Linked DNA regions of Saccharomyces cerevisiae S288C. Changing the gene in region 4 together with the main gene of any one other region gives a genetic interaction. Each region holds a gene or a part of one and is shown on either strand. Other genes may lie near its edges.

Region 1 (4,595 bases), on a different chromosome or scaffold from region 4:
ATGAAAAACGGTATAGGGAGCAAATAAGTATAAGTTTGAATAATGTGGAAAGAGTTTTGAATTATTCTAAACAAGGTGCGGACGCCGATGAGGAACACTTAAACCAGGGTCTACTAGTGATTGAGGTTTCTAACTTATACAAATTGGGAAGTTTTTTGATCCCGCGTTCAAGAAAGAAAGAATGGTTTAGGGACGTTGAGGAACTGGTGGATACCAATCTTGACTCCGGAGCTCATATAAATGTCGTCAACAGGATATACCACGTATATGGCAGGTTTTTAATCCATTAGCGTATAGCCTGCTGGGGAAGAAGAAAGGGAAGATATTGAATATATTCTTAATGTATTTTTTGTACAGACGTAAATATAAAGAAATCAACGCAAAATCGACGCCTTTTTACTTTTTATACTTTTTTACTAAAAAGACAGATTTTCTCGCTCATATCATAAGTGATGTACTATTATCCTCCATATACGATATATCTGTTTAAAAAAAAAGAAAAAAAAAGGTTACTTAAATTCATACTCATTAGAAAAAAATTCTAGGGATAACAACACCAAAGGTAGAACTTCGTTCAATTTATGAAAGGTTTGGCCATAATGGAGAACAAATGAATGAAGTATATAAAGAGAAAAACGACTTAAAAGATATTATTAACAATATCTGACCCAATACTAGCGCCTGCCCCAAAAATGGCGGCATTACCCAATTTGCTACCAAAGCTCTTCAAGTGGCTATGTGAGCTCTGATGTTGTTGTTGTTGTTGTTGTTGTTGGGGAGGAGGAGCTTGTTGCGGCTGTTGTTGAGGCTGCTGATAATAATTTGTGGAAGGTGGAGGAAATGGCTGCTGTTGATAAGATGATGCGGCACTATTTTGCGTGGGGATTTGTTGTAATTCTTGAGCTTTATACTGTGGAGGTGGTGGAAGATTGGATGGACCGTTAGACCCAGAGAAAGCTGGCTTGACATAGTTTGCTGGGAAAATACCGGTACGGCCATTACAGCTACCCTTGTACCACTCTGGAGATAATTTTTCTAAAAGTTGGACCTTGTCACCTGGTTTTAAGCCCAAATCACCATCTTGTTGAGGATCAAATTGATAAAGAGCTTCGACATATTCCAAGGAAGCTGGACTGGCGTTGCGGGGTGCATTGGCAGGATCCCATTTTGCCGGCAAGCTCTTATTTATTTGATCGTAAACGTCATTTGAAATGACATTTGACCCTTTTAGAAAATCCAGTTCTGTCCTAATGTTTGTTAAGGAACGATTAATCAATGAAGCAGACATTTTTGAAATATCAGATTGCCTTCTTTCCTAATGTTCTTGTGTTTGCGCCAATGTGGGCACTTTGCCTATTGTCTCAACCGATTTGAGGTTCGACTATATATGCAGCTTACAATATCCATCCCCGCCTCGAAGGAGGCTCGGTTAATCACGCTGCACGAACGAAAACAATAGTTAAAGAAACGTTTAGAACAATCTAGCGCTTTGAAGAAAGAGTATTAGGCTCTTTACGTGAAGGATGGCACATTCTCATTCAAAAGTTGCTGCTAACTTTTATCATCAAATCAGTAAACCCCTTCTTGTTTTTTCTTGACAGAAGCTTTCACATAACGGAACCAACCATGGAATAACTTAGCACCACATCGAAAAGGATTTGGACTACTGCGCAACAAAGTGGGACCCATGTAGACATAGAAAATAAACCAGATCTATAGATCGCACCTATTAAAAACCCCATAACTGTACCAGTCGTCAAGCCTTGAACGCCTCCGTATAAGACGTACATGACGAATATCCATACACTTCCAGCCTTCTTTCTATGGGTCAAGCTAGCATACACACCAGCAGTAACGTAAAATGCACCATTAAAGATCAAAGTCCAGTACAGCGAAAATTTCCAAATGTCAGATATATAGTATAAGAATGCAGTATTATACTTCGAGTTGTTGATGGGCCAGTATAATGAGGGGAATTTTGGCGTTACATATCCAACAGGTATATCGTTATTTGTTACGAATGATCTGAGCACAGGGAACATGCGACAGAGTAGTGGATGTTTTTATTGTTAGTTTTGTGCCTATTATTTTCTTAAGCCACAGGGAGCGATGCCTGCATCCAGCCGTGGCGGATATAGTCTTGGTAATGAATAACATACCTCATAATACGGCAGGAAGTTGGAACTGATCTTGTTGGCAGTTTTTATCTTATACAGAAGCGTCAAGAGTAGGAAAAGGTTTTATTATTGCATATTTATCAACTTTCAGTATGTTTCTTTTTTTCTTCGGCAATGAAAGAGAAAACAATATAATTGAAGAAAGAGGAAATAGTGTCCGAAAGAGATTCTGATATGTATTATAAAGAGAAAGACAGTTCAGTAACACAGAATCGCCATGCGTGGAGAATGGCAGGAATTTAAGACACCTGCAGGCAAAAAGTATTACTATAATAAGAACACGAAGCAGTCTCGATGGGAAAAACCTAATTTGAAGAAAGGCTCTAACCTAGAAAGCAATGCGAAAGAATCACAGACAGAGAGGAAGCCAACATTTTCATTAGAACTGGTTAATGGTTGGCACTTAATAATATACAACGATGGTACAAAACTTTACTTTAATGATGACTCTAAGGAGTTCAAAAATGACATCAGTCAAGAGGACGACAGCAGGTGTCGCTCATTAATCGAGTCGTTAGATAAGGAAAAACTGGTTCTTCTGATTGGCGTTGCCAGAGGTTACACTATGCGGGAGGAGGACATTGATAAAATCCTCGAATCTTGCAACGAAGAGATTCATCTATTTAAAAGAAATCAAGACGAAGTTGAGAGAAAAGATGAGATCAGCGAAGAGGCGGGTGACGTAAAATCCCCTTTACAGGAAAGCCACACTGGGCTAGTCAGCGGGTATGGTTCATCTTCGGGGGAGGAAGACGAAGAGGAAGACGAAGAGGAAGACGAAGAGAATGAAGAACAAATTGTAAATCAAGATATCAGCATTATCGATGATCTGAATCGTATTGATACAGATGACATTGACGAGCGTAATATCTTCTTCGAATTATTCGATAGGTATAAACTAGACAAGTTTTCCACGTGGTCGCTGCAAAGCAAGAAAATCGAAAACGATCCTGATTTTTACAAGATCAGAGATGACACAGTTCGTGAAAGTCTTTTCGAAGAATGGTGCGGCGAGCGCAGTGGCAATGCCACCGCTGAAGAAAGCGATAGCGAAGATAATAGCGAAGACGATAGCGAAGTACTAGAACCAACAAAATACCATTATCTGGCACAAATTGTTGCTAATGCGGGAACAATCGCACCCGACACCATCCCACAAGATATAAGGAAACAACAAAAAGCGTTATACAAGGCCTACAAAATCAAGGAGTATATACCGTCGAAGCGCGACCAAGACAAATTCGTTTCCCAACTGCTGTTTTATTATAAGACGTTCGACTTGGAACAGCGGAAAGAGATTTTCTGCGATTGCCTACGGGATCACGAACGAGACTTTACGGGGGCAGTCGAATCGCTGCGTCAGGACAAAGAGCTTATCGACCGATGGCAAACACTTCTGAAAGCACCCGCGGACAGTAGTAGTATAGAGGATATATTGCTGAGCATTGAGCACAGGTGTTGTGTCAGCCCAATAGTGGTGACGGAACCACGCTACTACGTCGTGGGCATTCTGGAGAAGACCGTGGTCTGGGTGCGGTGGCTAGCCGCCGAGGTCGGGCCATCAAGCCGGTTTACCCCAGTGGGCGCGGGGAACGAGCCGATAAATCCGGAATAGGAAGGGCAGACCAGGGGAGCAAAGAGTGATTAAGCTTACGCACCTGGTATGGACGTGATGGAAGTGGGGTGGTGATAGCAACCAGAATACGGTAGGGTCTTTACGCTTAGTGTACCTATCGGTATTCAGGCTCTTTGCCAGTGATTGGGGCTGCGGGATCCGCCATCATATCTAGTCACTTTTGTATAAGAATGAATGATAAGAGCAGGTGCAATTTTCGGACTTTAGATGTTTCTTGTGTTTCATTATTTATAGCACATTTATTTTTTCCCTCTGAGTGTGTGTCTGCATGTATACATTTTAGTTGAATTATAGAGAGTAACGAAACACACACGCATACACGTATATACAAAGACATATATACGTACGGAAATAGTGAATAAGGATGATTTTATTAAAGAGGACAAAAATTAGGGGCGTCAGCGTCTCTTTTGTAAGCTTGCAAAGAAGGACTCACAGCAGACTGGTGAACCCCATAAGGCAGCAACATCAACAAATTACCAAGCAAAGGAGTTCAAAGATTTTAAAGAATGCGCATTTCTATGACTTTAGATCGCTGCCCAAAGTACCTACTACACAGTATTTGGAAGCTAGGGAGCTCACCCGCGATATTCTGTATAGCGGATACAGGCCAGTAATGTACCCAGTGAAGGAAAACCCGCTATTCAGAGATAAGAAGAGAAAGTCCTTGCAAACGTTATTAACAATGAACGAGAAAACAAACGCAGAGGCGAAGACGATCGATGAGAAAAAGCACAAGAACATATTGTTTGGTGAACGTGGCACTGGTGGTATAATGTCAG
Region 2 (3,571 bases), on a different chromosome or scaffold from region 4:
TAGAAAAGCCATAAGTGAGGAATCTCTGTCCCCATCGGAGGCCATCGCCAACAGAGATCAAAACGATACGACAGAAATACAGGAACAGCAGATGGAGGACCAAATGGAGGTTGATATGGAAAGAGAACTCTCAGGTGGCTACGAAGACGTTGATTCTGCCTTACATTCAGAAGAAGCGTCTTTTCACTCCCTTTAGAATCTTATAAATAATATGTATGAATAAACTCTATAGTATGTATCAAGAGAGAAATATGTGAATGACGAGCAAACTAGAGGTGTTATTAATAATAATGGCATAAAAACTAGATTTTATTCTATATATATATATATATATTTCTTCGACTTTTTTTTTTTTTACCCGCACACCCTGAATTTTGTGCTATTTTGAAGCAGAGCGTACTGAACAAATTGGCAGATTTACAAGAGGAATAACAGAGTTATGCTAAATCATTAAGTGTTTCTTGCGGCCAGAAGGGGCATTATACAAAAGATATGGTTGTTGATACTGAGTATTACGATTTGTTAGGTGTGTCTACCACTGCATCTTCCATTGAAATAAAAAAGGCCTATAGAAAGAAATCTATTCAAGAGCATCCTGATAAGAATCCCAATGACCCCACGGCTACCGAAAGGTTTCAAGCAATATCCGAAGCTTATCAAGTTTTAGGTGACGATGATCTTCGCGCAAAGTATGATAAGTATGGAAGAAAAGAAGCTATTCCTCAGGGCGGCTTTGAAGATGCAGCTGAACAGTTCTCTGTCATCTTTGGTGGAGATGCGTTTGCCTCATATATTGGCGAACTGATGCTATTAAAGAACCTACAGAAAACTGAGGAGCTAAATGCTGAAGACGAAGCTGAAAAGGAGAAGGAGAATGTGGAAACAATGGAAGAATCACCTGCAGACGGTAAGACGAATGGCACCACTAACGCTGTTGATGCAGCATTGGGCAATACTAACGAAAAAGATGACAAAAATAAGGCGAGGACAACTTCTGGTAATTTAACTGTACACGATGGAAACAAGAAAAATGAGCAGGTAGGAGCAGAAGCTAAGAAGAAGAAGACAAAATTAGAGCAGTTTGAGGAAGAACAAGAGGTAGAAAAGCAAAAAAGAGTAGACCAATTAAGCAAAACATTGATTGAAAGATTATCGATATTAACAGAAAGTGTCTATGATGATGCATGTAAAGATTCCTTTAAAAAAAAGTTCGAAGAGGAAGCCAATCTTTTAAAGATGGAATCATTTGGTCTGGACATATTACACACAATAGGCGACGTTTACTACGAAAAAGCTGAAATTTTTCTTGCATCCCAGAACCTGTTCGGAATGGGTGGTATATTTCATTCTATGAAGGCTAAAGGGGGAGTATTTATGGATACACTAAGAACTGTTTCGGCAGCCATAGACGCTCAGAATACTATGAAGGAGCTTGAAAAAATGAAAGAAGCTAGCACGAATAATGAGCCTTTGTTTGACAAAGACGGAAATGAGCAAATTAAGCCAACCACTGAGGAACTGGCGCAGCAAGAGCAGCTATTGATGGGCAAAGTATTGTCGGCTGCTTGGCATGGTTCTAAATATGAAATAACATCCACTTTACGTGGCGTTTGTAAAAAAGTACTAGAAGATGACTCGGTAAGTAAGAAAACGCTTATCAGAAGAGCTGAAGCAATGAAACTATTGGGTGAAGTCTTTAAGAAAACTTTCAGAACCAAAGTCGAACAAGAAGAGGCACAGATCTTTGAAGAACTTGTAGCAGAAGCTACAAAAAAGAAGAGACATACATGAAGTTAGCAATCATCTCTTGTATATTAAAAATTCAAAAATTCACTTTTTTTTATTATCTGTATTCAATATAATATAATGTATATAAGATCACACTAATACTGATAATTCTATTCTTGAAAGAAAGACAATAGAACAATAAAGAAGTGATTGAACTCAGTGACAATGATAATTTATGTGATAAGGAAGTGGTTATGGCTGGAGAATTATGCCACACTTAAATGATAAGCTCTTTTACCTTTCTGGGTTTAGGAATTTTTTGAGATTAATACAGATAAAAAAAAATAGGCCGAACATTAATTACTCATACAACTCAAAAAGTGCAGCGTGCAATTCTAGATCAAGAACATAGATAATATAAACAAAATAACAATGAACAAAATTCAGCAAATCAACGATAAAGAACTACAAAGTGGAATTCTTAGCCCGCATCAATCATGGCATAATGAATATAAGGATAATGCTTATATATATATCGGAAATCTCAACCGAGAATTAACAGAAGGTGACATATTGACAGTCTTTTCTGAATATGGAGTCCCTGTAGATGTAATTCTTAGCAGGGATGAAAACACAGGAGAATCGCAAGGTTTTGCATATTTGAAATATGAGGATCAACGGTCAACGATTCTAGCAGTCGATAATTTAAATGGATTTAAAATTGGCGGTAGAGCCCTCAAAATTGATCATACTTTTTATAGGCCAAAAAGGAGTTTACAAAAATACTATGAAGCTGTAAAGGAAGAATTGGATCGAGATATAGTTTCGAAGAACAATGCTGAGAAACTCATTTTGGCTAAAAAGGACCAACCAAATTAAATAATTTTTTCTTTCATCGCATATCTTATATTCATATAGCCTAGAAAAAAATAATCAATATCATATTTGTAATTCTACATCCTTTCAGAAATTAGTATACATACGTATCTATAGAAAGCAAATTAAATCTTCATGGAAGGGGTGGGGGTGGAGGAATACCTGCAGGTGGAATTGATGGGATACCTGCAGTAGAAACTGGTTGTGCCCCTTCTTCCTCTTCATCTGTACCAACTGATTCAGGAATCGATAAAACGTCATCATCAGAATCGGATCCATATGCGCCCGTGCCTTTTTCAGCACCATTGTAGTTATCAACGTGAGCGATAATAGGTTCTGAAGTGGAAGCTTGTTGAGTTGGTAAAGGTGGGGGTGGAGGCAAAACGCCTCCAGCTAAAGCTGGGGTGGAAGAACCCGATTTTTGCACGGCAGTAGCTATTGCAGGTGCTGAGGGAATTGGAGGTTCTTGAAAGCCATCAACAGCAGGCAAAGGGGGAGCCAACGGGACGGGTGGCTCCTGAGTAACAGAAGGTGGTATCGGAGCTATTGGAATAGGACTACTCTTTTCATTAGAGGTATTCGCCTGAGGGACAGGGACAGCAGGTGGAACAGGGGTAACAGACGGCAAGGGAGCAGCAGTAACAGGTGGAGCACGTGCATGATCAGGATGACCAATCTTTGCTTCTTCAACCTTATTATCTACAGCTACGCGGTTATTACTCTCGTCTTCATCAGACCATCCATCATCCTCGTCCTCATCCAATCCTCTTTGGATTCTTCTTTGCATTTCTGCAGCGCGAGCATCGAAAGTAGATGTAGAGCTAGCTGATGCATCCTTGAAGTATGGATTATGGCCCATTGTCGTGGAAGGCAGACCAGTACTGTTCTTACCTGCGGCAGGGGTAACAGCAGCGTGTACCGAGCGAGGAGCATTAGTAGAATTTTGCGAAAAAGCTGCAGATGGTGC
Region 3 (3,836 bases), on a different chromosome or scaffold from region 4:
TAGAACCAAGTGAACATCCACTTGCAGTGATGTCACCCATGATAGGAATTGGGCCATCTTCAATTATTACACATGGAAGATCTTCAGCGGTTATTCCTTCTGTTCCTGATGAAAGTTTGTATTCGCCTCCAAAAGTACCATCAGCAACGCAATCAAACTCACCCGTGCAAACAGCAACAGTCCTGTATTGGAATGCCACAATTTGTGTAGCGCGCACAAGTGTGTCGATGTTCGTTTTGCCGCTGCTAGAGTCGACGCCCTTCATTTTATGGTTATTTAACTTGGCTAGAGACAGTATTTCACTGCAATTGCCCTTTATACAAGCAAATTGGCCGTAAGTGAGCAAAGTGTTGTTTAGACAGAGCCTTGTTTCAGTGGCGCTGTACCCGACCGGGTCAAAGGTGATGGGTCTATTTACTTCATTATAAGCATTAATTGCGGCTTTTAGCATTTCAATAGGTGCCACTGATCCGGTATTTAACAGTAAAGAAGCATTTGGGATTCTTGCTAGTTCAGATACTTCACTTTCAATTTCAGACATGATAGGAGATGAGCCTAAAGCTAGAGTGACATTGGCACCAAAATTTTGATGAACCTTATTGGTGATATGTTGCACTAATGGACGATTGTTTGATACTTGAGATATAACGTTTTGAATTGAAGTTGTGGTCGGAAATGTATTATTTAACTCGCACTCAACAAATTGGTATCTGGTAGCATCTAACAAGCCTCTCAACCTCTTGGTTGCTGCACATGCATCTGGAGCGGCCATAATATCGCTGACTAGAGAGATACCATCCAACGATCTCTTTCCATTTGAAGCAACACATTGACAAAGCACACGTTGAATATTGTCAGGATGAAGACCACCAATACCAACGGTTCTACACCATGTAGCTTTAAATTCCTCCAAAGCATCCAAAATGGCAATGGCGCCTTGAGGACCCATGGGTGATTTCTTAGGATTTTTCTTTGTTGATGTAGGGAAAAGAGTACCAACACCAATATAATCTACCATATCTGGCCCCCATTTAGCCAATGTCTCTACCTCCGAAGGTTTACCAACACTCCATCCAAGAATTTTAGAAGGGCCCAAAAGTTTTCTTACCATTGGGATTGGCATATCGTCCTGGCCCACATGAACCCCATCGGCGTCAATTGCCATAGCGACGTCTATACGGTCATTGATAATAAGTGGAACATTGTACTTCTTACATATTTTTTGAACTTCTAAAGCCTCTGCAACGAAATTTTTTGTTTCAATATCCTTTTCACGGATTTGAACTAGCGTTACACCATTTTTCAACCCAGCTTCAACCTGAGAACATAAAGTAGTTCCCGGTGGAAGCATGGTAGAATCTGTAACCAGATATAATGAGTAATCAACTTCTTCCTTAGTAAATACCATTTCCGCTGTTTGATTTAAATAATTTAGCTTCAGAGTGATTTGGTCTTGAGAACCATGGTTAGATCGAAAACTAGGCGCTTCCACAAGTAAATGGATGCGTTGCCGCTATAAATATATGTAGTATTGATTTTGTTACACCTGCTAAATAGGTTCTTACGATTGCCTTTTTCCTATAATATGCATAAATTATGTTGCCCTAAAAGAGTGAAATAAACCTTATCTATCTTTTTTTTGTTCCTGGTTTTCAAAGTTGATTTTCGACAGACCCTAGTTAATTATAGGAAAAAGCCCTATTAGTCTTTTTCTTATCATAGATGACATTTACTTATATTAGGCCAATCGCATACTCTGCATCCAACAAGCCTTCAACAGGTCGAAGTGAAACTACAGGACTTGGAAAATATCAGTTTTTATAAGCAATAATGAAGTTCACCCCTAGCATAGTTATTGATGCTCCGCAATATTATGTTGATCATTTTAATGGCAAGTATAACGTGGATAAATGTGTTATTTTAAGAGACCTGCAGCTAGAAACGGATTCAGAATCCATGCCATCCAGCTTAAAGCATTTGACCAAACCTACGCACATCTTGGATTTGACAAACAATGACCTTATCATGATTCCAGATCTATCAAGAAGAGACGATATACATACATTACTGTTGGGCCGAAACAATATCGTTGAAGTAGACGGTCGCCTATTGCCTATGAATGTACAGAACCTTACATTATCGAATAACAGCATAAGAAGGTTTGAAGATCTTCAAAGGTTGCGTAGAGCGCCCAGGACGTTGAAGAATCTAACTTTAATAGGGAATCAAGTATGTCATTTAGCCAATTATAGAGAACATGTACTTCGATTAGTACCGCATTTAGAGACTTTAGACTTTCAAAACGTAACAGCTGAGGAAAGAAAGAGCGCAATGAGCTTTCCAAGGCAGGCGGACGGCGATACGTTGGGCCCAGTAAATACTGCAATAAGAGATAATGGATCCAGAGATAAAACGATGGAGATCATGAATTTGGTGGTGAGTAAGATGACAGTAGAGAGAAGAAATGAATTGAAAAAGCAGTTAGCAGAAGCTACTTCTTTAGAAGAGATTGCCAGGCTGGAAAAACTACTCTCTGGTGGTGTTTAATCTTTTGGTTAGTGCGACTGTTCAATGACTTAAAAAAAAAGAATTATAAATTATTCTGTGCCATTATATAATAATATATAAAACGAAAACAAATAATGGTGCTCTATAAACATTAGAGGACAATGTCAATTTCAATGTCAATGCCTTAGAAATTAAAGTTGGTAAGAAAGAAGGAAAGGGCAACCTAATTAGCTGCCGCTTCCGGTTGTACTTCAGGTTCGTTGCTCTGAGTGGTGCTGGATATTTCAGCCTTTTTACTAGCAGCTTCCTCCTCTTCCATTCTTTTTCTTTGCTTAATCTTCTTATTGCTCTCGGGCGCATCAGTAAGACCTGGGATACCCTTAGCTGTCAAGAATTCGAAGATACTCTTTTGCACAGCAGGTCCCGATTTATCGGCAGTTTCTTCTCCCTGTGCTCCAGTAACCTTGTTGAAACTATCAATATAACTAAAGAACGCATTAAAAACATTTTCGTCCACCTCTTCCTTGTAGATCTTATCGTAGATATGCTTCATTTTGAACTTATCCACTTCGTCTTGATATTTGGAAAAATCGATCGCCTTGTAACCAAACTGTTCTAGTCTTTTATTATAACCTTCAAATACTGGAGCTTCTAACAATAATCCTAATGCAGGTGCCTTCGGAATATTAATCTTCTGCTGTCCGTAAGCCTGACTAATGCGTTCGACGGGGCAACCACAACGGGTAATTAAGGTTGCCATTGATACCATCTTACGAATTTGATGTAGCATGAAAGACTGGCCGTGAATCTTGATGGAAATCCATTCTGTTTGGGCATCGCCAATAACAAATGGATCAGATACTTTTATATCTTTCATAAATCGAATGGCACTTGGTTCTTTGAAGTCCTTGCCTAATGTAAAATTATGGAAGTTATGAGCGCCAAGGTATTGACTTGTAGAAGCACGGAATTTGGCCAGTTTTGCCGCGGATATACGATATCTTCTACGGTGAGCATTTTCTAATTGCTTGTACTTTTTTACCTTCTGGTATAGTTCTTCATTTATATCAAATTCATCTCTTGCGGGCGGAACATATGCTAATATAGCTTCGATTTCTTCTGTTGAAAATTTTTCATTCGCATCTTTTTTAAACTCTTCCCAAAATTCTTTGGATTCCAAATCTTCATCTAATACACCAGGTAATTCTGTTTTACTTTCTTCGATGTCTCTATAAAGTATAGAACCAGGTTTGGGGCCAATGAGTGAATAAGTTGGTAATAAGTATTCGTACCAACGTGAACTGCACATTTTTCTACAATCAAACGCC
Region 4 (3,905 bases):
GGAACAGAGTGACCGCCCAATTGCGCAAGGAGGTCTAATTTCAAATCGAATTCTGTTTGCAACCACCTGATAGCACTCTTGGATTCCTTAGTCAACTTATCCATCAGTGATGGAACCCCTCTGCCTTTAGCCGAATGCAAAGTATCTTTCAAAAACAATTCGGGAGTGTCCATTACCTTTAAATTTTGTTGAGTGTCTGTGTGAGCACCATTAATACCACTAGAAGCCTTTATAGAATTCCCACCAATAGAAGCCGCCTTATCCAAAAGCACAACAGGAATTCTGTATTTACTAATGAGACGATTACTTGTGGTTAAGCCTGCCAAACCAGAGCCAATGACCACCACTGGTTGTTTCATTGACGTTTGATCTGTGCCACTTAATGTTCTTTTCAAAACTATTATCAATACGAATATTGAGACGTAAATGAAAACCCTTCTCACAGATCTAATCATTTTCCTAAGACTCGGGATGATATAGAATTATTAAGGTATTTCCTATCATAAAATCTTTCCCTTTTCGGCGGTTTTGTTTTAAATCTGGATTTCTAAGCAAAGGATTTTCGCTAGTTTTTTTTTTTCAAGTAGCTCGTAAAAAGAAAACGAGAGCTACTCCTGCATGATTCATATAAGATTTGACGAGTGTATAAGATACATTTGTATTGGTGTACATTATGAAATCTATGTAATCTACCTAAGCGTAAAAAGGAGATCTTGCCTTCGATAACTAGTACGGTGGAAGAATTACATTTAATAACGAACGGGACAATATGATATCATAGAAGAAAAAAAAATGAGTCCCGATCACTATTTTACTTCATATCTGCAGCTCGGACATGTTTGAAGATTATAATGCTTGTGATGGTCATTCGAAATAGTGCCTCTTCTAAATGTTTGAATAATTTTCCATAGCTAAAGGTTAAGTTCATCCATTAGTTTCTTTTTTCTTCTTTGCACTAACCAATGCTCCATATCTGCCAGAGTTGGTACATGGATTTCTTGTGTCTGCCTTGACATTTCTTCTTCATCTTCATTCACAGGCACATTATAATGTGCTTTCAAAATGGATGTCCAGTTAGCCTCAAATTCGGTTAAGGCGGCTGTGACTTTGCCATGGTAATAAAAATCATTTCTATCCTTCGGTATGCATTTGGTGTTTATAGAACCCCCATCATTCTGCCTTTGAGACTGCTTGAGCCATTCTTTTACTTCAGGCAATTCCAGGGCTCTTCCAAAATATCTCTTACCATTTATCAGCTTTCCTGAATTCATCAGCACATGACTGTCTTCTAACCTTTTCCTCTTGGTTTTTTTTTCCATAAGTGTATGGTCAATGTGCCACTGCCATCTCTTCCATTCTTTGAAAAGATTATTAAGTTCGTCGTTAAGTTCCGCAATCTGCATTTCATTTAAAGACGGATCATATATTCTTGTGCTTTTTTGTTTTATCTCTTTACTTACTTGTCGCTTCCATTCGTTGGCCTCTTTTATGGATTTTACCTTAGACACGTTCCTGGGCCTCTGGTAACGTGAATAATCCTTGTATCCACCTGCCGACTCTGCTTGCTGCTCTTGAAATCGTACCAGAACTGAGTTGGCCTTATCTACATTTCTACTCATTTTGAATGCACAGGTATCTGATTACTGATGTGGTGCGCCTTGCGATATAACGGTGTGTCACTTTTATTTGCTCTTTCATGCATCCTGAAATTATTTCACCGCACTACGCAAAGAGAACGGAGAAAAAGGTATAATAGGGCAAATGATCATTGACATCGTGATCGTAAGCCAAAAAAAAATACAATAGGCTCCCTAAATAAGTAGAGTAAAAGCTCTTGAGATGAAGGAGAATGACATGAATAATGGCGTAGATAAATGGGTAAATGAGGAAGATGGTCGAAATGATCATCATAACAACAATAATAACTTGATGAAGAAGGCCATGATGAACAATGAGCAAATTGATAGAACTCAGGATATCGACAACGCCAAAGAAATGTTGAGGAAAATATCAAGTGAAAGCAGCTCGCGCAGAAGCTCCCTGTTGAATAAAGATTCATCTCTCGTGAACGGCAATGCAAACAGTGGCGGTGGTACGAGCATTAACGGAACAAGAGGAAGTTCTAAGAGTAGTAATACACACTTTCAGTATGCCTCCACGGCGTATGGTGTAAGAATGTTGAGTAAAGATATATCTAATACCAAAGTGGAACTGGATGTGGAAAATTTGATGATTGTTACGAAACTCAACGATGTCTCACTGTATTTCTTAACAAGAGAGTTGGTAGAATGGGTTTTGGTACATTTTCCACGTGTGACTGTTTATGTGGATTCCGAATTGAAAAACAGCAAAAAATTTGCCGCTGGCGAGTTATGTGAAGATAGTAAATGTAGAGAATCAAGGATCAAGTATTGGACAAAGGATTTCATCAGGGAACATGATGTTTTCTTCGATTTGGTAGTGACTTTGGGTGGCGACGGTACTGTTCTTTTTGTAAGTTCCATTTTTCAGAGACATGTACCACCCGTTATGTCGTTTTCATTAGGGTCTCTAGGATTTTTAACAAATTTTAAGTTTGAACATTTCAGGGAGGATTTACCTCGGATTATGAATCATAAAATCAAGACAAATTTACGGTTGAGGTTGGAGTGCACAATTTATCGTAGACACCGCCCTGAAGTAGACCCAAACACGGGGAAGAAAATATGTGTGGTGGAAAAACTAAGCACACACCACATTTTGAACGAAGTGACCATCGATCGTGGTCCAAGTCCTTTTCTATCCATGTTAGAATTGTATGGTGACGGCTCATTAATGACCGTTGCGCAGGCGGACGGACTGATTGCTGCTACTCCGACTGGGTCCACGGCCTATTCTTTGAGTGCAGGTGGGTCATTGGTATGCCCAACCGTCAATGCAATCGCTTTAACACCCATTTGTCCACATGCATTGAGTTTCAGACCCATCATCTTACCAGAAAGTATAAATTTAAAAGTGAAAGTCTCGATGAAGTCAAGGGCTCCAGCATGGGCGGCTTTTGATGGGAAAGATAGAATTGAATTGCAAAAAGGTGATTTTATAACCATATGCGCCAGCCCATATGCTTTTCCAACCGTGGAAGCCTCGCCCGATGAGTTTATTAACAGTATCAGTCGACAACTAAACTGGAATGTGAGGGAACAACAAAAGTCCTTTACGCATATTTTGTCCCAAAAGAACCAAGAAAAATATGCACATGAGGCGAACAAAGTCAGAAATCAAGCAGAACCTTTAGAGGTAATAAGAGATAAATACTCTCTGGAAGCAGACGCTACTAAGGAAAACAACAACGGAAGCGATGATGAGAGCGACGATGAGAGTGTAAACTGCGAAGCTTGCAAATTAAAGCCTTCGAGCGTCCCAAAACCTTCTCAAGCAAGGTTTTCAGTATAATGTTACATGCGTACACGCGTTTGTACAGAAAAAAAAGAAAAATTTGAAATATAAATAACGTTCTTAATACTAACATAACTATTAAAAAAAATAAATAGGGACCTAGACTTCAGGTTGTCTAACTCCTTCCTTTTCGGTTAGAGCGGATGTGGGAGGAGGGCGTGAATGTAAGCGTGACATAACTAATTACATGATATCGACAAAGGAAAAGGGGCCTGTTTACTCACAGGCTTTTTTCAAGTAGGTAATTAAGTCGTTTCTGTCTTTTTCCTTCTTCAACCCACCAAAGGCCATCTTGGTACCAGGAATATATTTCTTTGGGTTAGTCAAGTACTCTGACATGTTATTTTCGTCCCACAACACGTTTTTCTTGATATTGGCATCTGTGTACGAATACCCTTCAGCTTGACCAGAGTGTCTGCCAAAGATACCATGCAAGTTTGGACCAACCTTATGTGGGCCACCCTTTTCCA

Evidence for each region.
Region 1: mutations in ISY1 (region 4) and URN1 together harm fitness more than expected from each alone (negative genetic interaction), as found in Saccharomyces cerevisiae (4 studies listed by BioGRID, with this or other methods).
Region 2: mutations in ISY1 (region 4) and IST3 together harm fitness more than expected from each alone (negative genetic interaction), as found in Saccharomyces cerevisiae (5 studies listed by BioGRID, with this or other methods).
Region 3: mutations in ISY1 (region 4) and LEA1 together harm fitness more than expected from each alone (negative genetic interaction), as found in Saccharomyces cerevisiae (4 studies listed by BioGRID).

The regions. Positions count from the first base shown.
Region 1 is NC_001148.4:831,258-835,852, reverse strand, and holds URN1 (Urn1p), read left to right. Parts: upstream 1-2,394; coding exon 2,395-3,792; downstream 3,793-4,595. Other genes in the region: NCA2 (Nca2p), read left to right, coding at 1-290; PIN3 (Pin3p), read right to left, coding at 641-1,288; MAY24 (May24p), read right to left, coding at 1,608-2,025, 2,160-2,164; SUE1 (Sue1p), read left to right, coding at 4,178-4,595. UniProt on the Saccharomyces cerevisiae protein: Component of the spliceosome involved in mRNA processing.
Region 2 is NC_001141.2:362,729-366,299, forward strand, and holds IST3 (U2 snRNP complex subunit IST3), read left to right. Parts: upstream 1-2,160; coding exon 2,161-2,607; downstream 2,608-3,571. Other genes in the region: AIM21 (Aim21p), read left to right, coding at 1-196; DJP1 (Djp1p), read left to right, coding at 493-1,791; actin cytoskeleton-regulatory complex protein PAN1, read right to left, coding at 2,738-3,571. UniProt on the Saccharomyces cerevisiae protein: Required for pre-mRNA splicing and spliceosome assembly. As part of the pre-mRNA retention and splicing (RES) complex, required for nuclear pre-mRNA retention and efficient splicing. Required for MER1-activated splicing.
Region 3 is NC_001148.4:148,784-152,619, forward strand, and holds LEA1 (U2 snRNP complex subunit LEA1), read left to right. Parts: upstream 1-1,830; coding exon 1,831-2,547; downstream 2,548-3,836. Other genes in the region: THI6 (bifunctional hydroxyethylthiazole kinase/thiamine-phosphate diphosphorylase), read right to left, coding at 1-1,408; pseudouridine synthase PUS1, read right to left, coding at 2,732-3,836. UniProt on the Saccharomyces cerevisiae protein: Involved in pre-mRNA splicing. Associates to U2 snRNA in a MSL1 dependent manner and is required for normal accumulation of U2 snRNA. Required for the spliceosome assembly and the efficient addition of U2 snRNP onto the pre-mRNA.
Region 4 is NC_001142.9:526,411-530,315, reverse strand, and holds ISY1 (Isy1p), read right to left. Parts: upstream 1,620-3,905; coding exon 912-1,619; downstream 1-911. Other genes in the region: OSM1 (fumarate reductase), read right to left, coding at 1-455; UTR1 (NADH/NAD(+) kinase), read left to right, coding at 1,840-3,432; CYC1 (cytochrome c), read right to left, coding at 3,652-3,905. UniProt on the Saccharomyces cerevisiae protein: Involved in pre-mRNA splicing and cell cycle control.